Linked DNA regions of Mus musculus. Each later gene encodes a partner of the first gene's protein in a complex. Links are inferred from orthologs where the notes say so. Each region holds a gene or a part of one and is shown in the gene's direction. Other genes may lie near its edges.

The links.
Region 2: the proteins of Sfn (region 1) and Rela are in contact, whole or in part, in a crystal structure (PDB 7O6I), measured with the Homo sapiens proteins. The link is inferred for Mus musculus from reciprocal best matches to the Homo sapiens genes SFN and RELA. Residues at the interface, in NP_006133.1 of Homo sapiens: Glu14, Tyr19, Leu43, Ser45, Val46, Lys49, Asn50, Gly53, Gly54, Arg56, Lys122, Arg129, Tyr130, Gly171, Leu174, Asn175, Val178, Glu182, Ile219, Leu222, Asn226, Leu229, Trp230; in NP_068810.3 of Homo sapiens: Ala43, Gly44, Ser45, Ile46, Pro47, Gly48, Arg50, Ser51.
Region 3: the proteins of Sfn (region 1) and Notch4 are in contact, whole or in part, in a crystal structure (PDB 7OR3), measured with the Homo sapiens proteins. The link is inferred for Mus musculus from reciprocal best matches to the Homo sapiens genes SFN and NOTCH4. Residues at the interface, in NP_006133.1 of Homo sapiens: Lys49, Arg56, Arg60, Lys122, Arg129, Tyr130, Glu133, Gly171, Leu174, Asn175, Val178, Glu182, Leu218, Gln221, Leu222, Asp225, Asn226, Leu229, Trp230; in NP_004548.3 of Homo sapiens: Arg1914, Arg1915, Phe1916, Ser1917, Ala1918, Gly1919, Arg1921.
Region 4: the proteins of Sfn (region 1) and Ripk2 are in contact, whole or in part, in a crystal structure (PDB 7OBS), measured with the Homo sapiens proteins. The link is inferred for Mus musculus from reciprocal best matches to the Homo sapiens genes SFN and RIPK2. Residues at the interface, in NP_006133.1 of Homo sapiens: Lys49, Arg56, Arg60, Lys122, Asp126, Arg129, Tyr130, Pro167, Gly171, Leu174, Asn175, Val178, Tyr181, Glu182, Ile219, Leu222, Asp225, Asn226, Leu229, Trp230; in NP_003812.1 of Homo sapiens: Leu535, Gln536, Asn537, Lys538, Ser539, Met540.
Region 5: the proteins of Sfn (region 1) and Cdkn1b are in contact, whole or in part, in a crystal structure (PDB 7ORG), measured with the Homo sapiens proteins. The link is inferred for Mus musculus from reciprocal best matches to the Homo sapiens genes SFN and CDKN1B. Residues at the interface, in NP_006133.1 of Homo sapiens: Lys49, Arg56, Arg60, Arg129, Tyr130, Glu133, Leu174, Asn175, Val178, Glu182, Leu222, Asp225, Asn226, Leu229, Trp230; in NP_004055.1 of Homo sapiens: Arg194, Arg195, Arg196, Gln197, Thr198.
Region 6: the proteins of Sfn (region 1) and Kcnk9 are in contact, whole or in part, in a crystal structure (PDB 3P1P), measured with the Homo sapiens proteins. The link is inferred for Mus musculus from reciprocal best matches to the Homo sapiens genes SFN and KCNK9. Residues at the interface, in NP_006133.1 of Homo sapiens: Lys49, Arg56, Arg60, Lys122, Asp126, Arg129, Tyr130, Glu133, Gly171, Leu174, Asn175, Val178, Glu182, Leu222, Asp225, Asn226, Leu229, Trp230; in NP_001269463.1 of Homo sapiens: Lys369, Arg370, Arg371, Lys372, Ser373, Val374.
Region 7: the proteins of Sfn (region 1) and Anpep are in contact, whole or in part, in a crystal structure (PDB 7AEW), measured with the Homo sapiens proteins. The link is inferred for Mus musculus from reciprocal best matches to the Homo sapiens genes SFN and ANPEP. Residues at the interface, in NP_006133.1 of Homo sapiens: Asn42, Ser45, Val46, Lys49, Arg56, Lys122, Arg129, Tyr130, Gly171, Leu174, Asn175, Val178, Glu182, Leu222, Asn226, Leu229, Trp230; in NP_001141.2 of Homo sapiens: Ala60, Ser61, Ala62, Thr63, Thr64, Leu65, Asp66.

What each region holds. Positions count from the first base shown.
Region 1 is NC_000070.6:133,600,048-133,603,750, reverse strand, and holds Sfn (14-3-3 protein sigma), read left to right. Parts: upstream 1-1,582; 5' UTR 1,583-1,981; coding exon 1,982-2,728; 3' UTR 2,729-3,195; downstream 3,196-3,703. UniProt on the Homo sapiens protein: Adapter protein implicated in the regulation of a large spectrum of both general and specialized signaling pathways. Binds to a large number of partners, usually by recognition of a phosphoserine or phosphothreonine motif.
Region 2 is NC_000085.6:5,644,005-5,647,687, forward strand, and holds part of Rela (transcription factor p65), read left to right. Parts: intron 1-1,320; coding exon 1,321-1,401; intron 1,402-1,508; coding exon 1,509-1,583; intron 1,584-2,795; coding exon 2,796-3,412; 3' UTR 3,413-3,683. UniProt on the Homo sapiens protein: NF-kappa-B is a pleiotropic transcription factor present in almost all cell types and is the endpoint of a series of signal transduction events that are initiated by a vast array of stimuli related to many biological processes such as inflammation, immunity, differentiation, cell growth, tumorigenesis and apoptosis.
Region 3 is NC_000083.6:34,570,768-34,574,450, forward strand, and holds part of Notch4 (neurogenic locus notch homolog protein 4 precursor), read left to right. Parts: intron 1-969; coding exon 970-1,083; intron 1,084-1,728; coding exon 1,729-1,842; intron 1,843-1,910; coding exon 1,911-2,033; intron 2,034-2,981; coding exon 2,982-3,141; intron 3,142-3,683. UniProt on the Homo sapiens protein: Functions as a receptor for membrane-bound ligands Jagged1, Jagged2 and Delta1 to regulate cell-fate determination.
Region 4 is NC_000070.6:16,122,166-16,125,751, reverse strand, and holds the end of Ripk2 (receptor-interacting serine/threonine-protein kinase 2), read left to right. Parts: intron 1-1,165; coding exon 1,166-1,327; intron 1,328-1,860; coding exon 1,861-2,198; 3' UTR 2,199-3,011; downstream 3,012-3,586.
Region 5 is NC_000072.6:134,918,981-134,923,363, forward strand, and holds the start of Cdkn1b (cyclin-dependent kinase inhibitor 1B), read left to right. Parts: upstream 1-1,420; 5' UTR 1,421-1,939; coding exon 1,940-2,414; intron 2,415-2,975; coding exon 2,976-3,094; 3' UTR 3,095-3,103; intron 3,104-4,383. UniProt on the Homo sapiens protein: Important regulator of cell cycle progression. Inhibits the kinase activity of CDK2 bound to cyclin A, but has little inhibitory activity on CDK2 bound to SPDYA. Involved in G1 arrest. Potent inhibitor of cyclin E- and cyclin A-CDK2 complexes.
Region 6 is NC_000081.6:72,509,608-72,513,290, reverse strand, and holds part of Kcnk9 (potassium channel subfamily K member 9), read left to right. Parts: intron 1-246; coding exon 247-1,172; 3' UTR 1,173-3,683. UniProt on the Homo sapiens protein: K(+) channel that conducts voltage-dependent outward rectifying currents upon membrane depolarization. Voltage sensing is coupled to K(+) electrochemical gradient in an 'ion flux gating' mode where outward but not inward ion flow opens the gate.
Region 7 is NC_000073.6:79,838,124-79,841,806, reverse strand, and holds part of Anpep (aminopeptidase N), read left to right. Parts: coding exon 1-169; intron 170-578; coding exon 579-721; intron 722-797; coding exon 798-934; intron 935-2,278; coding exon 2,279-2,405; intron 2,406-2,489; coding exon 2,490-2,644; intron 2,645-2,805; coding exon 2,806-2,919; intron 2,920-3,016; coding exon 3,017-3,160; intron 3,161-3,328; coding exon 3,329-3,394; intron 3,395-3,499; coding exon 3,500-3,565; intron 3,566-3,683. UniProt on the Homo sapiens protein: Broad specificity aminopeptidase which plays a role in the final digestion of peptides generated from hydrolysis of proteins by gastric and pancreatic proteases.

The sequences.
Region 1 (3,703 bases):
ACTCAGAGAGATACTTGCTTCTGCCTGTTAAGTGTTAGGATTACAGATGTGCACCTGTCTATACAGGACTGGGGAGCAAACTCCATACACACTAGCAGGGACTCTACCAACCAAGACACACTCCCAGCCTCTGCTTTTCCCCAGGGTGGGGGTAACATGTTTCCCTTGTGGCAAAGCCAGTCACCAACTGGCATGTCCCCTGTGTGAGTTTAAATGCTCAGACTCTAGCCGTACACTACCGTGGTCTTCCCTAACTTGATGTTTTACTGTAGTTCTGTGCCTGTGCCATGAGTTAGGCAAAGCACGCAAGATCTCAGGACAGAAATCCCATCTGCTTCCTGGGAGAACCTGTAAAATTAGCCAGGACCCTGAAGTCTCTCAAGAGCCCCTACTCCGTGGCCCAAGCACATTCCAGCCTGTTCAGGGTTCTGGCCTACAACACCTCTCCCGGAGGCAAGGCGAGTGCTCAGACACTGTGAGGAGACAGGCAAGGTTGTGCAATAGTCCTGCTTCAAGGGTTAGACTGGCTGGGTCCTAGGAAGAAACTTCTTTAGAAGGAACCACGGAGTCCCATCTAAACTTGAAGAATGTGGTGGGGCACATAAGCAGGAACACACCCTCAGTGCCCATTCTTATCATGGGCCTTGAAAATAGGGCCCAACCAATCAGGGATGGAAGATTGGGAACAAAGTGATCTCCATCTCCAAGGAGACTTCTCTCAGGGGTCAGAGGCAGAGTCTTGAAGGGACTTGAGAACCTCTGGGAGCCAAGTGAGGGATCATACTGGGCTGGAATCACACACTGCGCCATAAAACAAAATGGAATGTGCCATTCCCAGCTCCTTTCCCTCAGCCCTGTCTTCCTCCCCAGGTTGATAGCGTCCCCCCTGGGGGACCAAACTGGACTGAGCACCCAGGTGGCCTGCTTCCCAGCCTCTGACAGAGGTAATCTGAGTCAGGCAGGGGAGTGGGACAGTCAAAGAGTTAGGCCCCCACCCTCTGGGAACCCTGCCGATACATGACGACAGGCAGCTTGGAAGGGACGGGTGACCCGATGTGGAGAACCAGAGAGTAAAGTCTCAGACAAGTGTCAACAGGCCACCAACTTGAAAGGGAAAATTGTGCTGTAAGGGGGAAGGTGTCCAACAAACATATTGGGTGACTAATTACAAAGGCTGGGCTGGAGCGTCAGAGGCCGCTCGTTAAACACTTCATTAAGTGGCACCCTGAGATGCCACCTGCGCATCTGGGGTGTTCATAGGGCATCTTGAGGGAGAACAAGGACCAAGGGATGGAGCTATCTTCAGGCCGGCTCAGCTAATGGCCCCCAAAGAGAGCCAAGAGGAAGAGGGGACACGGAGGGGGAGGGGTTTAAGGGAGCTGGCAGCTTGTGACCTCAAACTGGTTTGGTTCACCCCTGAGACTTGATAGTTCTACCTCTACAGTCCTACAGAGCCAATTCGGGGGTTGGGGGTAGTTGCATCAGATCATGGATGCGCAAGTTTGGGGGAAACTGTACAGCCCTACCTATACATGAGTTCTCACCTGAACTGTCCCAGCTCCCTGGGCTCTGCCTGGGCTAAAGCAGCTCGGTGGCTGAAGCCTGGAAGATCACCCTGAAAGACAATCTGATTTGGTAATCCAAGACGCTCCTGCAATGCAGCCAGCCCTGAACTGCAGGGGGCAGTCTGGAGCCGAAAGGTGCCTTTGCAGGTGGGACCTGCGGCCAGGTTTCTCCTGCTGACTGTCCTGGTGACTCACAGCCCCCTCCCGTCCCAGCCCTTTTACCTTAAAGGTAGAGCCGGAAAGGGTGTGGCGAAGACTAGGAGGAGGCAGGGCCCAGGCCCGCTCAGACCACGCCCAACTCTTCTCAGGGCCATGCCACCCCAGCCAAAAGGCAGAGCCAGAGCAAGGGAGCCGCAGAACCCAGCGTTACTCTCGAGACAGCCAGTTCGCCCGTCTGTCTGTCCATCCTCGCAGTCATGGAGAGAGCCAGTCTGATCCAGAAGGCCAAGTTGGCTGAACAGGCCGAACGGTATGAAGACATGGCAGCTTTCATGAAGAGCGCCGTGGAAAAGGGCGAGGAGCTCTCCTGCGAGGAGCGAAACCTGCTTTCCGTAGCTTACAAGAACGTGGTGGGCGGCCAGAGAGCGGCCTGGAGGGTCCTGTCCAGCATCGAGCAGAAGAGCAACGAGGAGGGGTCAGAAGAGAAGGGCCCCGAGGTGAAAGAGTACCGGGAGAAGGTAGAGACCGAGCTCAGAGGTGTGTGCGACACCGTACTCGGCCTGCTGGACTCGCACCTCATCAAAGGGGCTGGAGATGCAGAGAGCCGCGTCTTCTACCTGAAGATGAAGGGTGACTACTACCGCTACCTAGCCGAGGTGGCCACTGGCGATGACAAGAAGCGCATCATCGATTCTGCCCGGTCAGCCTACCAGGAGGCCATGGACATCAGCAAGAAGGAGATGCCGCCTACCAACCCCATCCGCCTGGGCCTGGCCCTGAACTTTTCAGTCTTCCACTACGAGATAGCCAACAGCCCCGAGGAGGCCATCTCGCTGGCCAAGACCACCTTCGACGAGGCCATGGCCGACCTGCACACCCTCAGTGAGGACTCCTACAAGGACAGCACCCTCATCATGCAGCTCCTGAGAGACAACCTGACGCTGTGGACAGCCGACAGTGCTGGGGAAGAGGGTGGTGAGGCTCCGGAGGAGCCCCAGAGCTGAAGCAGCCGACAACCACCCCGGCTCGCCTTGCCCTCCAGTCCCCAGCCTGCAGAGAGGACTAAAACGGAGTGGGACTCTGCCCTTCCCAAACCCTGAATGTTCAGCCACACCTTGGAAGGCTCCTTTGAAGGGGGCGCAGCCAAGCTGAAGCCACCAGGGCAGGGAATCTCACTCTTCGTGTAGCTGTCTGGTGGGTGTTCCCAACCCATCCCACCCCTGCTCTCTGCACCCCCTCCCCACTTCCTCCCCCTGAGCCTCCCTCGGGCACCTGTTGCTTCTGGATCCGAATAATCCAGGAGGCTCCCCACCCTGTGGCTGAGAACTGGACTGTGGCAAGGGCTGTGTGTGTGAGAGAGAGGGAAACTCTGTGTGTGTGTGTGTGAGAGAGAGAGAGAGAGTGAATGAGAGGGAACACGTTTGCTGGGTGTGACCATGCTACCACTCAATAAAGTTGCCCTGTGACACTCGGTCTTCTTCAGTTATTGGCCATGGGTTGAGAGTAGAATTAGAAATGAGTTAAGAGAACCGGACTCTGAAACTCTGAGCTAGGTCTGTCCCTTGGGGCTGTCTGGGTGACCTGGAAGTGAGACGAGCCTTTGGGTCGGTGTCGGTGACCTGGAAATTTTGGGTAGGGTGACTTCAGGTGAGAGGCCACCAGGAAGTCCCCGCAGCGCTTCGGCTCAGGCCAGGTGAGCACAGAGGCAGGTCAGGAGAGCAGAGGAGAGTGGGGGCTGTAGGCGGGAAAGCCGCGAAGTCAGGGAAGTTTGGGCACAGTGGCCTTAAGAGACACGCTTCACAAGTGGCACTGGGGACCTCACTTTAAGAAGCGGGAAACGGTCACGTCAAGTGCTCAGATCTGAGCCGAGGGGTGCAATCTGAGGCAGGGGCATAGTGCCTCCAATAAAACAGATCAAATAAGGGAAAGCTCCCCAAGGCCCAGGGACAAAAAGAAATCGGCTGAAGAGGAGCGGGCGC
Region 2 (3,683 bases), on another chromosome or scaffold:
GTGCTGACACTTGTAACCCAGCACTGGGGAGGTGAAGACAGGAGGATCGGAAGTTGAGGGCTAGTCTCAGCTACATAGGAAGTTTGATGCTCTCCAAGGCTACATGAGATCTTGTCTCAAAAAAGACAGAGTTGTCAAGCTGAGGACCTCTGTTTAACCCACGTGATCAAAGGAGACAGTTCAGAGTGTGACAGTTCAATGTGTGACTCTCACACATTGTCTCTGACCTCTTGTTGCAACACACATGCACACATGAATGTTTTGGGGGCTTTGGGGTTTTTTGTTGTTTGTTTGTTTTGTTTTTCGAGACAGGATTTGTCTGTGCAGCCCTGGCTGTCGTAGACCTCACTTTGTATGCCAGGCTGGTCTTGAACTCAGAGATGCACCTGCCTCTGCCTCCTAAAAGGCATATACCACCACTGTTTGGCCACACACGCACATAAATGTAATAAATTAGGGTGTTTTTTTTTTCCTGTGGGGGTGGGGTGGGGGAATTGAGACTTCAACAGCCAAAAGGAATCCTGGCACTTTTGTTGTTTTTTGTTTTGTTTTTGAGACAAGGTTTCTCTGGATCCTGGTACTTTTTAAGGTCCCCTTTTGATGACTAAATCTCTGTGTGCTTACTCATCTCCAGTTGCTAGTAGGTGCTTGGCAAGTGGTGTTGAGTTAGTATTGGAGGATTGAAAGAAAAAATGATGTTCAGAATTGTTCCAGGTTGCAGTTTGGGTGCCAGGACAGACAGGGAGACACAGGGGAAAGAAGCAGTGCCCTGGTGTGAAATACTGCTTCACCTAGACGGTGTGCAGCTGAGGTGGTCAAATAATTCTGAAGCTTCAAACTAAAGGAAGAAGCCATACACTGAGCTGAGTCTGGAGCCTTCGGCCTGTGATGCTCTGCCCACAGCACTTCCCTCTCCACCTACGTGGATGCTTCTGTGAGCAGCTCAGATGGCGTGCTAGGCTCTTGTCCCCCAGAGCAGGGGTCAAGACAACCAACAAGGCTGGCTGTGTGGCCCACACCTTTAGTTACAGCACTTTGGAGGAAGGGCAGTGAATTTCAGTGAGTTTGAAGTCAGCCTGGTCTGGTGTGTGTAGTTCCAGGACAGCCAGGACTGTATATAGTGAGACAGTCTCAAAAAACCAGGGGGGAAGAGGATTCAACCAACAGACCCTTCTCTGAAGGTCACACATCCCTTCTTAACTGGTTGGGAGACTAGGTCTTAGGAAACTATGACTCCACTACCCTCCTGGAGAGCCCATAGAAGGGAGAAGTGCAGCCCGGCTAAGGAGAGTAAACCCACCATCCATATTGCTTTCCCAGATGATCGCCACCGGATTGAAGAGAAGCGCAAAAGGACCTATGAGACCTTCAAGAGTATCATGAAGAAGAGTCCTTTCAATGGTGAGATGAGGAAAGCCTGAGGGAGAGGAGTGGGCAGGCCAGCCAAGTCCTAGAGTCAGTGAGAGGACACCCGGGGTCTGAAAGCTGACTTAGCTTTTGCCCTGTAGGACCAACTGAACCCCGGCCTCCAACCCGGCGTATTGCTGTGCCTACCCGAAACTCAACTTCTGTCCCCAAGCCAGGTAAGGAAGTCCTTTTCTTTTTCTAGAATGAGGGTCTCATTTGTTCAGACTGAAGTAGTATCTTCTAGAAGGGGACCAAATTGGTCTCACCTGCAGAGTTCTGAAATCTGCTCTCCATGGGGCCTGGACTTCTCAGGGGGAGGCCGGGGTCTCTGCCAGGACCATCCAGGGCTCTTGTCACAGACTGATAAACTCAAGGCTTTGAAAGTGTGGCACAGGAACTGGCCATTTCCTAAAGTCAGTAGAAGTCAGAAGCCATGCTCCTGTCAAACCCTGAGCCCTTTATTCCCTGCTGCTCAAGAGAGTGTGGCAGGAGGGTCACAAGTTCAAGGCCATCTTGGACTACAAGGTTATTAAGTTTAAGGTCAGTTTGAAGAACCCTGTCTCAGCTTTAAAAGTAAAAGCAGGGATACGGTACAGCTCATGTAGAGCGCATGCCTAGCACCAGAGACCCTAGATTCAATATTTGGTACCAAGGGACTAAATAATCCCTGAGTTGGATACCTTGAGATACAGACATTGGAAATGTCTCTGCCCTCAGCTCTCCATTGAATTGAGAAAGAAGAAATCACCTCTAAAGTAATCAGTTGTGGGGCTAGAGAGATGGCTCGGTTAAAGGCACTGGGTTCTCTTCTCAGCAGCTGTCTCTAGCTATAGCTGCTCGCCAAGGGCGCTGCACGCATGCAGTGCACATACATAGAAGCAGGCAAAATGCTCACAAATAAAAACATTTATTTAAAAAATTAAGCTGGGCTGGGTGGTAGTGGCGCATGCCTTTAATCCTAGCACTTGGGAGGCAGAGGCAGGCGGATTTCTGAGTTCGAGGCCAGCCTGGTCTACAGAGTGAGTTCCAGGACAGCCAGGGCTACACAGAGAAACCGTGTCTTGAAAAACTGAAAAAAAAAAAATTAATAGGTTGTGGGTTCTGGTGCGTGGCTCACAAGAGTGACAGACTCCCACCACTGAGCCCGTGCTCCATGGTTCATCCTCTTCGCTGGCTTTGCAGCTGTAACATGGTGAGAGCTTTATGACCGCAGTAGCTAGGGAACACCTCACTGTGGCCCTTGGAAGTGGACCCTACAGGCCTGGTCAGATTTTGGTTCCCAGAAAGGTACTGATTCTAAGCATGGTAGAGCTGGGTCAGGTGGTGGCAGAGGGGCCGTGTATGTCTCTCACTGCCTCTGAGCCTTTGTTCTTTGTCTCTCTCTCCAGCCCCGCAGCCCTACACCTTCCCAGCATCCCTCAGCACCATCAACTTTGATGAGTTTTCCCCCATGCTGTTACCATCAGGGCAGATCTCAAACCAGGCCCTGGCCTTGGCACCGTCCTCTGCCCCAGTCCTTGCCCAGACCATGGTCCCTTCCTCAGCCATGGTACCTCTGGCTCAGCCCCCAGCTCCTGCCCCAGTTCTAACCCCGGGTCCTCCCCAGTCCCTGTCTGCACCTGTTCCAAAGAGCACCCAGGCTGGGGAAGGCACGCTGTCGGAAGCCCTGCTGCACCTGCAGTTTGATGCTGATGAAGACTTGGGGGCCTTGCTTGGCAACAGCACAGACCCAGGAGTGTTCACAGACCTGGCATCTGTGGACAACTCAGAGTTTCAGCAGCTCCTGAACCAGGGTGTGTCCATGTCTCACTCCACAGCTGAGCCCATGCTGATGGAGTACCCTGAAGCTATAACTCGCCTGGTGACAGGGTCCCAGAGGCCCCCTGACCCAGCTCCCACACCCCTGGGGACCTCGGGGCTTCCCAATGGTCTCTCAGGAGATGAAGACTTCTCCTCCATTGCGGACATGGACTTCTCTGCTCTTTTGAGTCAGATCAGCTCCTAAGGTGCTGACAGCGACCCTGCTCAGAGCACCAGGTTTCAGGGCACTGAAGCCTTCCCGAAGTGCGTACACATTCTGGGGAGTGTGCTCCAGCTGCCCCCGACTTGTTTGGGTGATCTCTCTGGGGCGGCACGTTTTACTCTTTATCTCGCTTTCGGAGGTGCTTTCGCAGGAGCATTAACCTCCTGGAGACGGAGCTGGGAGGACTCGGTGCATCCCTGTGTTGATAGCTCCTGCTTCGGTAGGGAACTCTGAGATCCTGCTTCCATCTCCA
Region 3 (3,683 bases), on another chromosome or scaffold:
TCATAATTAAGAAACTGGACACAAAGAGGGGGAGTGACTTACCCAAGGTCACGCCTCCAGTGAGGAGCAGAGTCCAGCCTCCACCCGGGCTTCAGCAGTGCTGACCTCCCCACCCCACTCCCTACTGGATGCCAGGCATCACCCATGCATCGTGGCTCAGGCCATGCATAGACATGCACAGAGACGTGGGAAAATTGTTCGGTCATCCAAGGGACAAGTTACATGAATCGAGGGTGTCGAGGCAGATCCCCAGGAAAGGGGGGTGGGGCAGGGAGGTGAGGAGGCTGACCATGAGGTCATGGAGACCAAGATAAACCTAAGGGTGGAAAATGGGAGCCACTCTTCTGTCCTAATGCCTTTCTTCAAATCCTCCTCCTCCACACCATCACTACTGCTATAACCATCAAAACCATTATGGCCACAACCACCATAACCAACAGCATCCCCATCTCCATAACTACCACCACTTTCACCACCACCATCACAACCATCACAACCACCATCACTACCATCACCACCAGCAGGAGCACCACCATCTTACCACCATCATCACCACCACCAGCAGCACCACCATCTCCACCACCATCGCTCCCACCCACGGTACAGAGGCCTAGATAGTACATGAGGGCTGAATCACCCTCCAGGCAGATGTCCATTTCCCATCTGTACTTCAAGAATCTCCAGGCTGGGCAGCCCATGGGCAAGCCCCACCCTCTTAGGTACACAGAAAGGACTTCAAAGGCACTTCCTCTCAGCCCCCTGCAGGTCCCCTGCTCCCGGAGCCTTAAGCCTGGGGGAGACAGATGTGTCCACCCCACACACACACACACACACTCAGTGCTCATCAAGACAGCACAAGCAGGGGGGATGGGGGGTTCTGCAAGTCCAAGGCTTCAGAGCCTAGGTGCCCCAGGCAGAAAGCCCACTGGCCCTGGCTGAGGCCATCTCTCACCCCATCTGTGTCCTCAGGCTTGGAAGGGAGGCTCTGTGAGGTGGAGGTCAATGAGTGCACCTCTAATCCCTGCCTGAACCAAGCTGCCTGCCATGACCTGCTCAACGGCTTCCAGTGCCTCTGCCTTCCTGGTGGGTGAAGATTCTGGCCAAGACAACCTCAGTCCCCTGGGAACCTAGAGACCATCCCCCTGCCCCCAAAGCAGCTTGTGTTTCTCCTCCTCCTTTTTAGCTCCCCCAACTCTTCCACCCATTCCCAAGCCTTCCCTTGCTTACACCCCAGCCTCACTTCTGTCTATGAAAAAGTGAGTACTCTATCTGCAAGTACACCTGCGCGCCAGAAGAGGGCGCCAGATCCCATCGTAGATGGCTGTGAGCCACCATGTGGTTGCTGGGAATTGAACTCAGGACCTCTAGGAGAGCAGCCAGTGCCCTTAACTGCTGAGCCATCTCTCCAGCCCAGGGACAGATTCTTTCTGTATCAATGCTGGGGACAGGAGGCAGGGTCTCACACATGCTGGGTAATCACTCTGCCTCTTAGCCATACTCCCGGCCCAGGCTCCATCCCTACTTCTTACACAGGAAGAAATGAGAGCTGGAAGGGAAACTGGGTAGCTTGCCCACAGCCCAGCAGCCTAGTCGCCAGCAGGGTCTGAGCTCCACTCTCTCCCGTGTTGCCCAAACGCCTAGAGTCTCCTCAGAAGACCCACCTTTGTTCACCCTGTGCCTCTCTGCACGTCCTTGAGCACCCTCCCTTCCCATCCCCTCCCCCACCAGGATTCACCGGCGCCCGATGTGAGAAAGACATGGACGAGTGTAGCAGCACCCCCTGTGCCAATGGGGGGCGCTGCCGAGACCAGCCTGGAGCCTTCTACTGCGAGTGTCTCCCAGGTAACTGAGGCTCGGTCGCTAGGGGAGGGGACCATCTGTGCGATTCCTAACCCACCCCTCTGCCACAGGCTTTGAAGGGCCACACTGTGAGAAAGAAGTGGACGAATGTCTGAGTGACCCCTGCCCCGTGGGAGCCAGCTGCCTTGATCTCCCCGGAGCATTCTTCTGCCTCTGCCGTCCTGGTTTCACAGGTCAGGAGACAAGAGAAAGAACTGGGAGGGTGTGTGAGCCCACTGCAGGTGGGGAGGAGGCCCCTGGCGGGTGTTAGGTGGTCAGGATGACTAAAACAGAATGAGAACGGCCTTCTGTGCACTGGCCAGGGAGAGCTAGGAGCGTGGCTTGGAAGCAAAGACCTCACTGAATATGCAGGAGTCCCTGGGGTGCCCAGCACTAGAAAAAAACCAGGACAGGATGAATAAATAAGCAAGCAGGTAAAAGCAAGCAATCGTAAACTGACAACCTGCGCTCGGAACTCAGAATCCAGGGGACATGGATGGCAAGAACGGACTCTGCAAAGTCTGACCTCTACTTGTGTGCCTATGGCCCATGCATGTCAGCATACACACACACCACACACACTACACACACACACCCTCACACCACACACATACCACACAGTCATACACACACCACACATAACACACACATACTCACACAAACACACAAACCACACACCTACTCATACACACACATCAAATGCACACACACCCATACACATCACACATACCACACATTTCACACATACACATACCACACACACTCACATACCACACATACACAGCTCACACACCACACACACATACATACACACCTCACACACACCACATACATCATATGTACACACACACCATACCACACACACATCATATGCACACACACCACACGAACACTCACATACTCATACACACACATACACACACAGACACACACACACACAAACAGGACACGATCATACACACACACACTCGGAGCACAGCGAGGTACAGCACAAAGACAAGGACATAGGAAGAGAGAGTGAAAGTGAAGAAAGGACTTGTGCACAGTGAGGAAGCCACACCTGGAGGTGGCCTTTGACCCCCTCAGGACACAAAGGGACTTTCTTTCCTCGTAGACTCATCTCCCCAAACCCTTCCACACAGGTCAACTTTGTGAGGTTCCCTTGTGCACCCCCAACATGTGCCAACCTGGACAGCAATGCCAAGGTCAGGAACACAGAGCCCCCTGCCTCTGCCCTGACGGAAGTCCTGGCTGTGTTCCTGCCGAGGACAACTGCCCCTGTCACCATGGCCATTGCCAGAGGTAACCCCTTCCAACCTTCCTTCCATCATGCCTCAGCTAGGATGAACAGCAGGGGCGGGGGGCAGGCCGGTGGGATAGGACCAATGGAGGAACAGGAAGGAGACACCAAGCTTCCTTGGGCAAGAGAGGGCACAGCTGAGGAGTGGTACCTAAGGAGGGGAGGTTTGAGCATCGCAAAGGAGGTAGAAGAGGGTCAGAGCACAGAGGAGACTGGCTTCAGCCCTCCCTACATTAATACCTATGGGCATCTTCCTGTGGACACTTCCCAACACAGGGCAAAACAGGTGTGTTGTCACCTGCCTGGAATCCAAGGAAAGGCAGATGGATCTGCGCCAAGGCCACACTCCACTAAATAGTGAGCTCTGAGGCTAGCCTGGGCTACAGGAGACCCTGGAGAGAAAGGGATAGAGATACAGAAAAGGAGACAGAGACAGGGAGACAGAAAGATAGAGAGATAGACAGAGAGACAGACAGAGAGAGAGAGAGAGAGTCTAGTTGGCAGAATGTCTCATCCACAGCTACATAGTAATTTGGAGGCCTAA
Region 4 (3,586 bases), about 120 Mb from region 1:
GTTAGAACTAAGGACTGAGTGCTGCATTGTTAAGCTGTGAGCACTCACAGCTGTTAGAACTAAGGACTGAGTGCTGCATTGTTAAGCTGTGAGCACTCACAGCTGTTAGAACTAAGGACTGAGTGCTGCATTGTTAAGCTGTGAGCACTCACAGCTGTTAGAACTAAGGACTGAGTGCTACATTGTTAAGCTGTGAGCACTCACAGCTGTTAGAACTAAGGACTGAGTGCTGCATTGTTAAGCTGTGAGCACTCACAGCTGTTAGAACTAAGGACTGAGTGCTGCATTGTTAAGCTGTGAGCACTCACAGCTGTTAGAACTAAGGACTGAGTGCTGCATTGTTAAGCTGTGAGCACTCACAGCTGTTAGAACTAAGGACTGAGTGCTACATTGTTAAGCTGTGAGCACTCACAGCCGTTAGAACTAAGGACTAAAGTGGGGCTAGGGTTAAGACAGATGATGATTAAGATTTACACCTTTTTTATGTTATGTTTGTTTGAGTCTTTGAGTCGTCATCAGTGCCCTTTGGGGAGGTGATGTGCAGTGAGCCTCTGAGAATGTTGAAGGGACTGGGTGTTCAATGGTGACAGAAAGATAATTACATAAGCTTGAAGTAGGATAAACAGTTGGAGCACTGAAATTGTTTTCTAAAGGAGAAAGTAGAAAACACATGTCAAGTACAGATTTATTACACTTAAAAGTCCATGTATTTGACAGATATACATAAGACATATTTAAAGTGGAAAAGGGGGAATTCACAGGGAAGAAGTATGAGACTGTGAGAAGATGGGAAATTATGATTTATAAGCATAGACCAGGCAAGCACTGATAGTAAGAAAAAAACATTCAGTATAAATGTTTATTACTCTAAAAAGTATTTGCAGGGCTGGCAAGATGACTGTGTGTAAAAGTACTTCCCACCATGTCAGCAACCTGAATTTGATCATCTGAACTCACAGGGTAGAGAGAGAGCTGACGTCTACATGTTGACCTCTGACCTTCACACACACACACTAAAAAATATTTCAAGTATTTTCAGAATTGGATTTCTGAAGTAGGTTCAATAACAGTGCAGAACCAAAGCCGTTAGAGCCTACCTTCTGTGTGACCCACCCATTGGTATTTTATCTAATGAAAACTCTACCTGTAATGAACTGTCCTGTAGGAGCACCTCAAGACTGCTCTTCGTTGAAGGCACACCACTGTCCTGGAAACCACAGCTGGGATGGTATCGTTTCTGTACCACCAGGGGCAGCCTTCTGTGATCGCAGGGCCTCCTCGTGTTCCTTGGCTGTAATAAGTCCATTCTTGGTTGAGAAAGGTTCAGGTGAGTGTATGCTGTGAGTTATACTGCAAATGTTGGTGTTTACCCTACAAGTACGCAGTGCATGGATTCACCATATAGTATGTTTTCTTAGTGTTCATTCCATACTTCAGTAAGTATTTGTTTAAGTAGGAGAGCATTTCCAGACTCAGTGCTGACCAAATGCATTCCAGGAATGTCTGACCTAGAAGGAAGTGGGAAGAAGCAGCGTTACTTTCAGTGTTAGTAAAGGCGAAACTGTTTTCATTTATCACATCGGCAGGTATCCTTTATATTTGAAACTAAACAAAAATTCAAGTCATTTTGCCCTACAACATAGCATATAAAAATATAATACTCTTTCTGGAAGGTGAATGGGGAGCTAAAACTCAAGTCTCTTGATAGTTCCTGGATAATAGAAGCACTTTCAAATAATACTCTTCACACCCGCAGTCATACGGGAATGAGAGTTCTGCTTACTCACATTCACACAGAATTACACTCATTGCCTCTACGTATCCTCAGCTTGGTAATTCTCATGCATTGCTTTGCTGCAGAGCGCCCACCAATTGGTATAGCCCAACAGTGGATCCAGAGTAAGAGGGAAGCCATTGTGAGCCAGATGACTGAAGCCTGCCTTAACCAATCGCTGGACGCCCTTCTGTCTCGTGACCTGATCATGAAGGAGGACTATGAACTCATTAGCACCAAACCTACAAGGACCTCAAAAGTCAGACAGCTGCTAGATACGTCTGACATCCAAGGAGAAGAGTTTGCCAAAGTTGTAGTGCAGAAGTTGAAAGATAACAAGCAGCTGGGGCTGCAGCCTTACCCAGAAGTACCTGTGCTTTCCAAAGCACCGCCTTCAAATTTCCCTCAGAATAAAAGCTTGTAAGGGGGCCTTCTTTGGGAGGAAGTCAGTTTACAAATGGTTATTTATATTTCTGTTACCTGTATAATATTTGTATAGAAAACATGAGAGTATTAGACGCTTCACTGAAGGTTGATGGAAGAGTCTCTTCCCATGACGTTGCAGTATTTTTTTAAATTAATATAAGTAAAAAGTTTGCTTTATGCTGTGTAGTTCAGTTTTTACGTCAGTTTCACTACTTGAACTTTTTATGTGATAATTACATTTTTCTAGTATGTAACAGTGCCTTAAAGTGGCCTTTGTTTCTGATGGAAGACACTTTCACACTCACCTTCTCTGCGGATTCCTCATTATTCGTCTAGAGTGCAGTTTGACTTTACATAGCAGTGATTCAGGCTCCCCATTTGCCAATCCCAAGTTCAGATCTCCAAAGAGTTACTCGGTTTTAAGTTTGACTTACAAATTCTTTAGCAGGTGGTCTCAAGGAATGTAGAGTATATAAAGAAGCGGGGGAGAAAAAATTAACACTGGCCAGCCGTGGACCTCTGCTTAACTTTTGCCTCCTGTCTGTCTCCAGAGCGAGCAGCCCATTGTGCATCCTGCTGCAGCCTGCTTCCGGCTCCTGTTTTAAGCATATGCGGGTTGGGTAGAAGCCGACCTTTACTTAGCTATTTTCTTTGTAAAACACCATGGTTTTTGAACTGAAGGCAGGTACACTCCTCCACACAGCTAACTCCGTTCAATCACCGCATGTCGGCCACGCCTCTCTGTGTTTGATTTTCCAAGATTGCTCTTATCAACTTGACGAGAAACAATAAAAAGGCAATACAGTGTGCATTCTTTTTATCTTCTGGTAATTAGCGTATGTCAGTAAAGGGAAACTATACAAAGTGATACCTTTTTCTGAAAACTGTTTAACAGTTAGAAGAAAGTGAGAAACAGAATGAATTTGAAAACTCAAACTTGCAAGACGCACCAGACTCATAACCTAAAACAATCTGAATTAGGACTTAGATCATATGGAGACAATGAAATATTCCTTAATTTGAAATAAGAATGTAAACAGCAGGACTGGAGAGATGTCTGAGCACAGCATTTAAGAGCTGGCTGCTCAGGGAGAGGACCAGGGTCTGCTCCTAGCACCCACATGATGCCTCACAACCAGCAATAACCCCAGTTCCAGGGAAACTAGACTCTCTTCTGGTCTCTAAGACCACCAGGCAGGTGTACAGTGCACTTACATGCAGGCAAAACAATCATTCATATATATATATGTATATATACATATATATATATATATATACATATGTATATATATGAATCTATATGGGAAGATGTTTAAAGAATTTAAATGCAATTTTAAAATGACATTAACTTTTGATGTGACTCTTATGGGACTTTCAGAAACAGAA
Region 5 (4,383 bases), on another chromosome or scaffold:
ACACACACACACACATCCTGGCAAAGATGTGGCTAAGAAAACAAGTCAATATTCAGTCTCACCTACACCAGAGGAAGATAGGAAAACCATGCTTCTTTGGGACACTAAACCAGAAATTTAATTTCCTGTAACATGTTTTGTGTTTAGCGCAAACCAAGACTGTTTGGGAATACTAGTGGGCAAAGCCCTTAAAATCTCACTGAACTCTGAGATACGACAGGCCTGGCTATTCTGTTTTAACTTCTGTCACTGTGCTCAGCAGTGATAGAGAAATGTGAAGTTGCCCAAGGAGCTGAAAAAAACCCACCCAACATTACTAGATGTTGGTAATACCGTGGTGGTGGTATTATAAATCACTTGCAAATCTAGTCTTAGATCCTTAGGAAAGTGTTTTCGCCCTTTAACAACCTGCAGCTCTCTAAAAGTATTTGCTTGTATTTGAATATTGTACTGAGTAGGTTGGAAGCAACAGGCTGGTGGGAGAAAAAAGAGAAGGAAGGCACTGTTGTAGTTGGCGTCTGGACTCAGGTGGAGGGAACGGCTTCGCCCGGGAAAGAACATAAGGGTATAAAGGCGAGTTCCCACACGCTATAGCAATGGCTTTCACTGTGCTTAGGAACCAAGAAAATCAGAACTGGCTTTTTCTGATTTCTGTCTGGGACGGCTCTAAAGAGAGGCTTGGGAGAGCACTGGGGGTTTTCAATCTCGAGATCCTACGGTGGAAGCGCTTGGATTCAGAAACACCCTGATAAGAGCGGTCAGTCCTGGCTTCTTTTTGAAACCACCTCCTGGCCTGTCCTACATAGCAGAGACTTCTGGGGTCAGGCTAAGCGGCCGATTCCGCACCCCAGCTAAGGCACCCTGCCGGGTGGGGGTGGGTGGGCTGCCCCAGGCCCTGAGCCAAGGTTTCCTGAATCTCTCGCATACCCTCCTCCATTCCCACCTCGGCGAATGCAGGTGGGCTGAACTAGCCACCGAAGCTCCTAATAAGCCGCCAGCGACCTAGGAGCCCACTGGTCCAGGCCCTAGGTTTCGCGGGCAAAGACCTGGAGGTCGCAGTCGGGAGCGGTGACGCGCCTGCCAGCGCAGCTCTGCAGCGCCGGGACCTAGATCCCCGGGTCCCTGCCTGGCCGCCGCGCTGGCCCCTCCCCAGCTCTCCGGCCGTTTGGCTAGTTTGTTTGTCTTATTTTTAATTTCTCCGGGGCCAGCCAGAGCAGGTTTGTTGGCAGTCGTACACCTCCGAGTAGTCACGCGACCAGCCAATGTCCTGGCGGCGCTACGGGGAGGCGGCGCGCTCGGGAGCGCGGAGAGGCGGCGGCGCCGCGCCCGGGGCCACCTTAAGAGCGCGCTCGCCAGCCTGGGCGGAGCGGCTCCCGGCGCCGAGACCAATGGAGCTCCTCCTCTGTTTAAATAGACTTGCAGTGTCAATCATCTTCTTCTTCGTCAGCCTCCCTTCCACCGCCATATTGGGCAACTAAAAAAGGAGGGGGGCTCGTGCTTTTGGGGTGTTTTCCCCCCTCATCCCTTGTCCCGACTCACTCGCGGCTCCGAGACTCGCGCGGCGGCAAGGTTTGGAGAGGGGCTGCGTTCGCGGGACACACGGGCTCGCCCCAGCCTACGCTCCGACTGTTTGCCACCTCCTCCTGCCTCCTCCCCTCCCTTCCCCGCCCTCCAGTACACTTGATCACTGAAGCCTCGAGCTGCGCGGCGGCTGGGGTGTCCCTGCGCCTCTCTTCCCCAGACCTGCGCGCTACTGCGGCTCGGGCGGTCGCTCGCCTGGCTCTGCTCCATTTGACTGTCTGTGTGCAGTCGCAGAACTTCGAAGAGGGTTTTGCGCTCCATCCGTGGCGTTTCGCTTTTGTTCGGTTTTGTTGTTTATTTCATTTTTTTTTTTCCGGAGAGAGGCGAGGCGGTGGTCCACACCCGCCCGAGGAGGAAGATGTCAAACGTGAGAGTGTCTAACGGGAGCCCGAGCCTGGAGCGGATGGACGCCAGACAAGCGGAGCACCCCAAGCCTTCCGCCTGCAGAAATCTCTTCGGCCCGGTCAATCATGAAGAACTAACCCGGGACTTGGAGAAGCACTGCCGGGATATGGAAGAAGCGAGTCAGCGCAAGTGGAATTTCGACTTTCAGAATCATAAGCCCCTGGAGGGCAGATACGAGTGGCAGGAGGTGGAGAGGGGCAGCTTGCCCGAGTTCTACTACAGGCCCCCGCGCCCCCCCAAGAGCGCCTGCAAGGTGCTGGCGCAGGAGAGCCAGGATGTCAGCGGGAGCCGCCAGGCGGTGCCTTTAATTGGGTCTCAGGCAAACTCTGAGGACCGGCATTTGGTGGACCAAATGCCTGACTCGTCAGACAATCCGGCTGGGTTAGCGGAGCAGTGTCCAGGGATGAGGAAGCGACCTGCTGCAGAAGGTAGTGACTCTTTGGAAAACTTAAAATGTCTGTCTGTCTGTCTGTCTCCGTAAGCGCCCCTTTACTAGACCCTGTTCACTTGCTTTCTCCAGCGTGTTCTGCTTTAGCTCTGGGAAATCGAACTTGTTTGAAGCTTAGGTTTGACATACCCCCTATCCGACTGCTTGCCCTGTTTATGATTTTGAAGTCAGAAGCCGGAGATAGTAAGATGTGATAACTTCCGTAGCCGAACGCATCACAGTTCCTCCCCTCTAGCCAGCTGTAGATACGTGACAAAAGTTCGGATGTTTACCAACTGCCTCCTCCTTGGCTGGGGTGGGGGGGTGGGGGTGGGGATGGGGGTGGGGAAGAGACGTGGGGTGTAGAATACTCCTTGTGTTAGTGGGAACAACCTTATTTTGTGTCCTTAGATGCTACCGGGGATGACGGGTCCAGGGGTCGTGGGTGGAGGTAGTGAGTGGGTTGTTCATCCCTTGGGCCTACTTCTGTCAGCCATTGTTGTCGATAATAAAGATGGTTTGTGTGTGTTCTCTTAAAAATTTCCCCTTGCCCCCCTCTTAGATTCTTCTTCGCAAAACAAAAGGGCCAACAGAACAGAAGAAAATGTTTCAGACGGTTCCCCGAACGCTGGCACTGTGGAGCAGACGCCCAAGAAGCCCGGCCTTCGACGCCAGACGTAAACAGCTCCGGTGGGTTAATGAGGAAGAACACAAAACTGACACCCCATCTGGGCTGCGCTCCCCGGGGGGCCTGCAGACCCCAGGACTGCTGGCAGATTAGTTGCCTGCCAGGAGGAATTACTTTCCTTGATCAAAAAAATTAACACTGGGGAAGGCTGGAATCACTTGAGGGGACTATAATGCAGTATTTGCACCCCAAGATATTTACCTTAAAGTGGAATCAGAATGAGGTTCCCAAGCAAGAACTTGCCACCAAGGCCCCAAAGGATAGGGACGGTCGTATCCTTATGAATCCCACTAAAACTTAGGCTGGGAATGACAGTTTTCCTTTCCAGTCTCAGTTCATGAGAACCCATTTCCCAGAGGTTCGTTTTGAGCCAATAGCCTATTTTGAACCATTTGAACTGTAGAAAAATGGCAAATATATACTTACATGTATGTTCTTAAGAGAAAAACTAGGTACCCATAGTGCACGTTTGATTAGGAGTGTGAATAGAGCTGCCGTGGCTCGAGTTCTTTTTATCTTTTGCTTTTGTTTTGGTTTTTGGTTTTTTGAGATAGGGTTTCTCTGTGTAACAAACAGCTCGGGCTATTCTGGGAATTGCTCTGTAGACCACGCTGGCTTCGAACTCACAGAGATCTGTATTGTCTCTGCCTCCTGAGTGCTGAGATTAGAGGTTGTGTGCCATCACCTCTGGGTACTTTTTTATTTTTTTTTAAAGTTGTGCCTTGTATGCTGGTAAATTTTGGAGAGAAAGGAACTTCATACTTAAAAAAAAAATTAGACTGGAAAGTTCAGAAGTACTAATGCTCCCACAGAATTGATTTTAACCCTGAGGTTACAAAGCAGAAGTTAAATGAACAGCTAGAGGAAGCAGCCTTCCCACACGTCAGCACCGTATGCTAATTTGCTGGAACAGGACGGTTTGGATGTTTATAGGGGAAATGGATAGTAGATGTTAGGACCAACTGAGAAGGTCCAACACAAGTGTGGATTTTTCCATGTGTCAAAAATCTCATCACCCCACTTGCCTAATTAGAGTAACCCAGCCCCTAAATTTACATAGATTGACTATTCATATGCTCTAACTACTTATAATAGTTTATAAGCTCCTTATGAAGAAAACCAGCATTCTCTATTTCTAAAGCCCACTTATAACCCAGCATACAAATAGATCTTAACAGTTTATTATTAACTTTTCAGGTCCTCATTTATTGAAATTTAAAAATAAATGAAGGAATATAGAGATGGCACAGGGTTCCAGCTTGTTGTGTTTATAAATCATAAA
Region 6 (3,683 bases), on another chromosome or scaffold:
TTTTGAGTTTACATTTTGAGATTAGAGGTACTTAATCTGTACACCGAATCCCTTTATAGCGACATTTTCCTGAATCCCTCCTGCCCCGGCACTTATGTGACTCTTGAAATGGTCCTTTTTATTTTTTATTTTTTTCATCTTTTATGCTCTAATCTCCAGTCTGTTCGAAATGTCTGATGTTTCTGTATCTGAACCCCACAGAACCTTTCCTAACTATTGTTCCCATTCTTCTCCTCCTTTCCATAGGATATGGACATGCTGCACCTGGAACTGATGCTGGCAAGGCCTTCTGTATGTTCTACGCTGTGCTGGGTATCCCCCTGACGCTGGTTATGTTCCAGAGCCTGGGCGAGCGCATGAACACCTTCGTGCGCTACCTGCTGAAACGTATCAAGAAGTGCTGTGGCATGCGCAACACTGAAGTTTCTATGGAGAACATGGTGACCGTCGGCTTCTTTTCCTGCATGGGCACCCTGTGCCTTGGGGCGGCTGCCTTTTCCCAGTGTGAAGATTGGAGCTTCTTCCATGCCTACTACTACTGCTTCATAACATTGACTACTATAGGGTTCGGCGATTTTGTGGCCCTGCAGGCCAAGGGTGCGCTGCAGAGGAAGCCATTCTATGTGGCCTTCAGCTTCATGTATATCCTGGTGGGCCTGACCGTCATCGGTGCCTTCCTCAATCTTGTGGTCCTGCGATTCCTGACCATGAATACCGATGAGGAGCTACTGGAGGGAGAAGTTGCGGAGATTCTTGCTGGAAATCCAAGAAGAGTGTCTGTCCGTGCGCCTCAGAGACGCAAGAGGCACCACGCCATGTACTTCCTCAGGAAATACGGCAGAACCCTGTGCTATCTCTGCTTCCCTGGTACCAACTGGGGTAAAGATGATGACGATGATGATGATGATGATGTCGTCGATAATGTTGTTGTTACTGCTCCTATTTCTGCTCCTGCGCCTGCTCCTGCTCCTGCGCCTGCTCCTGCTGCTGTGGCTGCTGGTGCCACTATCAGGAGTGTCCGGGCTACCGTCCACACCGTTTCCTGCAGGGTTGAAGAGATCCCTCCAGACGTGCTGAGGAACACCTACTTCCGGTCCGTTTTCGGCGCCATTCCTCCTGGAATGCACACCTGCGGGGACCATAGGCTGCACCTCCGTCGCAAGTCCATCTAAGTGTGGGAGGGAAGTACATGGAAGAATCATTTGTCATGCAGATGTAAGTTTCATTGTCCCAACTCCTCTTTCCCTCCTTATTTATTATTATTCTCTTTTTTTGTGCTTACGGTCATCATCATTCCTTTCTCTCTTCCCTCCTTTCCTGGTTTCATTTCTTTCCGGCCTTTCCAGCCAGGCAGAGCTGTCCAAAGGGAAAATAGAGGCCCATCCTCTCTGAAGCTCGCACCTGAGCATGAAGCATGGATTCCTTCCTTTCTCCCCACCAGAGTTATGCCTTACATTTCTCCCCACCCTGCCTCCTCTCTCTGGGGTGGCTTTCCTAGGACAGGTGTGAGAACAGGAGCACCAAGACAGAGCTGGGAGGATGGCCAACTGAAGTCTTTGACTGACTACCCGTAGTGATGTCTCCGACCTAACTCCTCTCTTCTTCCCCCAAGGACTGGGTGGCTGTGTGTACGCGTGTGTAATATGAGCGTGTGCGCTTCTGTGTGCAGGTGTGTTGTGCGACAAGGTGGAAAGGATCAGGCATTCACTTCCCTTCTCACGCATACAATTTCATACGCAGTCTCCTAGAGGCTGCTTCCAAACTAGCTAAACCCTGCAAGGTTGGATTTATCAACCTTGCCAAATTGAGCACATCCCACAAAGCACTTTTAACCCAAGATGAATCAGATGGCCATAGCGTCTAAATCTCATTCACTTCTCTTCAGGGTGTAGGCAGGCAAGACTACAGGTTTACCCTGCCAGTTTAAATGAAATCTTTAAGAATCATGCACTTTGTGGAACTGGTATGCATCATTGACACAAGAAAGCAGAGATCACAGAGGAGTAGTCGTAAAGCCACTAGTGTCAACTTATGGAAGACCTATTGAATTTTCAGCATTTCTAGTTCCAGAAGTTTTCCCTGCAGCTGGAGATGTCAAGGTAAACAGGGAAATAGGTGGGACCCAAGAGTATCTATTTTATTATTTCCCTCTTCCTAAGAATGACTCTGACGGGGAGAGCTCTGTGAAGTCTCTACCTGCGTGGAGTAGAGTCCCAGTTTTGGAATGCTTGGATGAGAATGGGTATCAGAATGGTGATGTGGTTTTTCTTTTCCTAATAAGAAAGCGACAGGGCATTCCTTGTTTAAATATATATAGAGAGGTATATATTTCAGGAACGAGTGTCTCTAAATGCATTTGATCTGTACATAGGGAGAAGTTCATGTTGGTCTCAGGAACGTTTTAGAGGCTGTATCTTGGCCTGCTGGGAACTTGTCAAGCTCAGGGGATGCTTTGTCTAGGTAGTCGAGATATTCCTCCCCGCTCTCAATAAAGGATGACCCTGGAGGGGACAGCTTAGGCTAGAGAATATGGCACCTCGTATGCAGGCCCTCTCAATCGCAGGAGTCCGAGGGCAGCTTGGCCTCCATAGTCACTGAGGGACTCTAATTTCTCTCATCGCCATCCCTGCCATCTCTAAAAGTCACCCCATTCACTCATCCTCCCACTCCTTTTTCGCACACTGGAAGTTCCTGGCTTTTGGATGGAAATGGGCTTTGGCTACACTACGCACGCACAAGGAGCGCACTTACTGGTCTTCAAGATTTCTTAAAGGACACAGCATCCAAATGCCACCAGTCCCAAGCATGTGTGCCATTGGGCTGAAACCAGGAGCATCCAGGACTCCTCTGGAAAGTCAATGCATGCACTTAATGCTACACCCCTTGTTGAAATATTCCCTTCGTCTAGGACACGGGACCTTCAAAAGGAGTCTGTGAACCTTAGACTCTCTTGGCCAAAGTTGACATATTCCAACTTCGAGGTCTTTCTCAGTTCACTTGTTTGAGATGTTGTTGTGTGGAATGCCCTGCACAGGGCTCTCAAGTCTGTCCAGAGAATAGAAGCAATCACTATTCTTGAATGTTTTTTTTTTGCTCTGCAAAGAGATTGTTGGCTCTTTTGGGTCACAAACGTGACACTCCTGATGCCTATATGCAGAGTACTTTATGCCTCGGAGGAGGTTTCCTGGAACACATGTAGGAGTTCCCCTGAGACTGTTGTAAGATTTTCCTTCAAATGGTGGGTAGGTATGTGTGATCACCTCTGATCTGTACATGGTGTTGAGGCACTGAGAGAACCAAGGATCCACTCTCAGTTCCTACCCAGAAGGGTCCAGAAGGTGGACTTCCCAACACCAAGGTGTCCTGACTCAGTCCTACAGTGGAGGACAGATCCTGCTCGGTGTCTTCACAGGGCCAAGCATTAGGCTCAGGAGTCAAGTCAGAGGGACATAGGCTCAGCCTATCTTTAGAGCTAGCTTCCCATTCATGCATCTGTGTGAAGTGGTCACACAGTGACCATTGTGTGGGAAGGATCGAATGACAGGTACATCTTTTCTTCCCAGAGGAATATAGACAACACCTTCTATATTCTCACAGAAGTAACCCCCCCTCCTTCTGCAAGGTAAAGGGCTGTAGAGCGAATTCTCTTTCCTCCTTATGTGATAGCTACTGATAGAAGTAAT
Region 7 (3,683 bases), on another chromosome or scaffold:
ACATTGACAAAACGGAACTGGTAGAGCGTACTGAGTACCTGGTGGTGCACCTGCAGGGGTCCCTGGTAGAGGGCCGTCAGTACGAGATGGACAGCCAGTTCCAGGGGGAACTGGCTGATGACCTGGCTGGCTTCTACCGCAGCGAGTACATGGAAGGAGACGTCAAGAAGTAAGGTTCAAGGGCGTGGGCACGGTCTGACACAGGGCTGCATCTGGGGCTTATGGAAAGGGAGAGGTTGGAGACTTCAGGAGACCTCAGTAGCTCCATTGCTCATCTGTAGGGGGAGGCAGTTCCTAGGGGTACTGGGTTGTGGTATGAAAGGGTTCCTTGGATGGACAGGAATACTGAGGCTCAGAAGAGAGAAAATTGTCCGGGACCCACCTCGGCTCACACTGGCGTGAAGCCTGCCAGGGCTTAGATGGCATCTGGAAGCTTTTGTCTCCCAAGGCAGCTTGTTGGTCAGGATCCTGAGGCTGTGTGGGGTTGGGTGAAGGGGAGTAAGCAGGTTGGGGCAGCCATCTTCTGTACCCTAAAACTATGCTCCTTACTCCTTCTCTAACAACACTGCTTTGGACAGAGTGGTGGCTACAACGCAGATGCAGGCTGCTGATGCTCGGAAATCCTTTCCATGTTTTGATGAGCCAGCCATGAAGGCCATGTTCAACATCACACTCATCTACCCCAACAACCTCATAGCTCTGTCTAATATGCTTCCCAAAGGTGAGCCTGGCTGTCCTGGGTTTGCCCTGAACTGGGCAGAGCAGGAAGCCCACACACTTACATATCCCATGCCCAGAGTCCAAGCCCTATCCGGAAGACCCTTCCTGCACCATGACTGAGTTCCACTCCACCCCTAAGATGTCCACATACCTGCTGGCCTACATCGTGAGCGAGTTCAAAAATATAAGCTCCGTCTCAGCCAATGGTGTCCAGGTATGAAACTGGGACTGTATGTCATGAGTTGGATCTGGCCCTGGCTTGAGGGACCTTCTCAGATCTTCTCAGTGCTAGCTTCTGAATTATTAGGCTGTTGAATCTCAGCTATGAGTGATCCCAAGAACTCTTTTGCTTTCTAGACAGTTTCTCAGGTGTAAAATTGAGGAACGTCTGTCCTGAACCTTGCTCTGTAGAACAGGCTGGCCTCAAACTCACAGACACCCACTTGTCTCTGTTCCTCAATGCCGAGATTAAAGTTGTGTGCCACCACGAATGGTGCCTTGCTTTTAATTTAGAACAAATTTATTGGCAGGGCGTGGTGGTGCACGCCTTTAATTCCAGCACTTGGGAGGCAGAGGCAGGCAGATTTCTGAGTTCGAGGCCAGCCTGGTTCCAGGACAGCCAGAGCTATACAGAGAAACCCTGTCTCGAAAAACCAAAAAAAAAAAAAAAAAAAAAAGAACAAATTTATTTTCTGTGTGTGGGTGCTTTGCCTATGCGTACGTCCATGTACCACTTCTATGCCTTGGAGGCCAGAAGAGGGCATCAGGTCCTCTGGAACTGAAGTTACAAACAGTTATTACCTATTACAAACAGTGAGTGCTGGGAATTGAACTCAGATCTTCCTGAAGAGCTCTTGACCACCGTTGTAGTTAGGGTTACTATTGCTGTGATGAAACACGGGGACCAAAAGCAAACAGAGGAAGAAAGGGCCTATTTGGCTTATGCTTCCATGTAGCTGTCCATCTTCTGAAGGAGGTCAGGCTGGAACTCAAGCAGAGCTGGAACCTGGAGACAGCAGCTGGTACAGAGGTCATGGAGGGGTGCTACTTACTGGCTTCCTCTTCCTGGCTTGCTCAGCCTGCTTTCTTTAGAACTCAGGACCACCCAGCCCAGAGGTCGCAACACCCACAATGGGCTGGACCCTCATCACATTAATATCACTGATTAAGAAAATACTCTACAGGCTTGTCTCCAGCCAGATCTTCTGAAAGCATGGCCTCAAGTGAGGTTCCATCTCCCAGATGACTCTAGCCTTTTAGGTTGACATAAAATTAGTCCGCACAGCCACTGAGCCATCCATCTACCCCTCTGTTTTAAATATTGAGACCAGGTCTACTGAGGTGCCTGGGCTGGCCTTGAACTTGTGACCCTCCTGCTTTGGCCTCTTAAATGCTGAATTTACAGGCATGTGACCGTGCTCGGTTTCCTCTGTTTAATCTAGTTGGTCTCCATCCTGACTTATCAGGGACCTCTAGCTCCCTGTATCCTGGGACTCTACCCATTTTTCTCATGATCCCAGAGGACCCTAAACCTGACCTCCTTCCTCTCATTCTGCAGATTGGAATCTGGGCTCGGCCCAGTGCCATTGATGAGGGCCAGGGTGATTACGCACTGAACGTTACAGGCCCCATCCTAAATTTCTTTGCCCAACATTATAATACATCCTACCCTCTACCAAAGTCTGGTAAGTGACCATGGGGCCTACATGGAGGTAGTGCCAGGATGCCCATTCAGACACCTCCCATTGACACCGGGATCCTTTCCACAGACCAGATTGCCCTGCCTGACTTCAACGCTGGAGCCATGGAGAACTGGGGTCTGGTGACCTACCGTGAGAGCTCCCTGGTCTTTGACTCTCAGTCCTCCTCCATTAGCAACAAGGAGCGGGTGGTCACTGTGATTGCTCACGAGCTGGCCCATCAGGTGGGCAGCTGTGGGAGCCCCAAGAAGGAGCAAAGCCTCGGGGTGGGGGGGGGTGTCAGGTCCTCACCTGGCCTGTGCCAGCAGACAGCCGGCGCGTGGTTGGATGTGATTAGTGATGGCAAGGCCTGTGAGACTCAACGGCTCGTCTGTGTCCCCTGCAGTGGTTTGGCAACCTGGTGACTGTGGCTTGGTGGAATGATCTGTGGCTGAACGAGGGCTTTGCCTCCTACGTGGAATATCTGGGTGCTGACTATGCAGAGCCTACCTGGAATCTGGTGAGTCTCCATTCTGGGAGCTGGGCCGAGGTGGAAGAGCGGGAGTGTCTGTGACACACCCCTTCTGAGCTCCTGATGGCATCTGGGGACTCCACAGAAAGACCTCATGGTACTGAATGATGTGTACCGTGTGATGGCCGTGGATGCCCTTGCCTCCTCCCACCCACTGTCCAGTCCTGCTGACGAGATCAAAACACCAGACCAGATCATGGAGCTGTTTGACAGCATCACCTACAGCAAGGTGAAGCCTCCTGGCTTCTGCCCACCCCCCTCACCCCCGGGAGTCACGGAGTTGGGGTGGGAAGGAGTGCATCCCTCAGGCAGCCTCATCCCAGCTGCCTGCCACTCTGGGAATGCTTGACCCTGGTGGCCAGCTTGGCCTGCTGAGCCCCCTCTCATCCAACCCCAGGGAGCCTCAGTCATCAGGATGCTGTCCAGTTTCCTGACAGAGGACCTGTTTAAGAAGGGCCTTTCAGTGAGTACAGCTCCAGGCGACCCCTCTGCATGGTGGCTTTCCCAGCAGAACCCTCCACAGGCCTGAGTATAACCCAGCCCTTAACAAGGTCTGTCATCTCCACAGTCTTATCTCCACACCTACCAGTACTCGAACACCGTTTATCTGGACCTGTGGGAACACCTGCAAAAGGTGGGTAACAAGCCTTCTCCATTCAGGTACCAAGGCCCAAAGTCCCTGGGGACAGCATGTGAGAGACTGTGCCCAGCTGCTGTGCTCAGTAATCCAGGCAAACTGTCTGGGTCCTCAG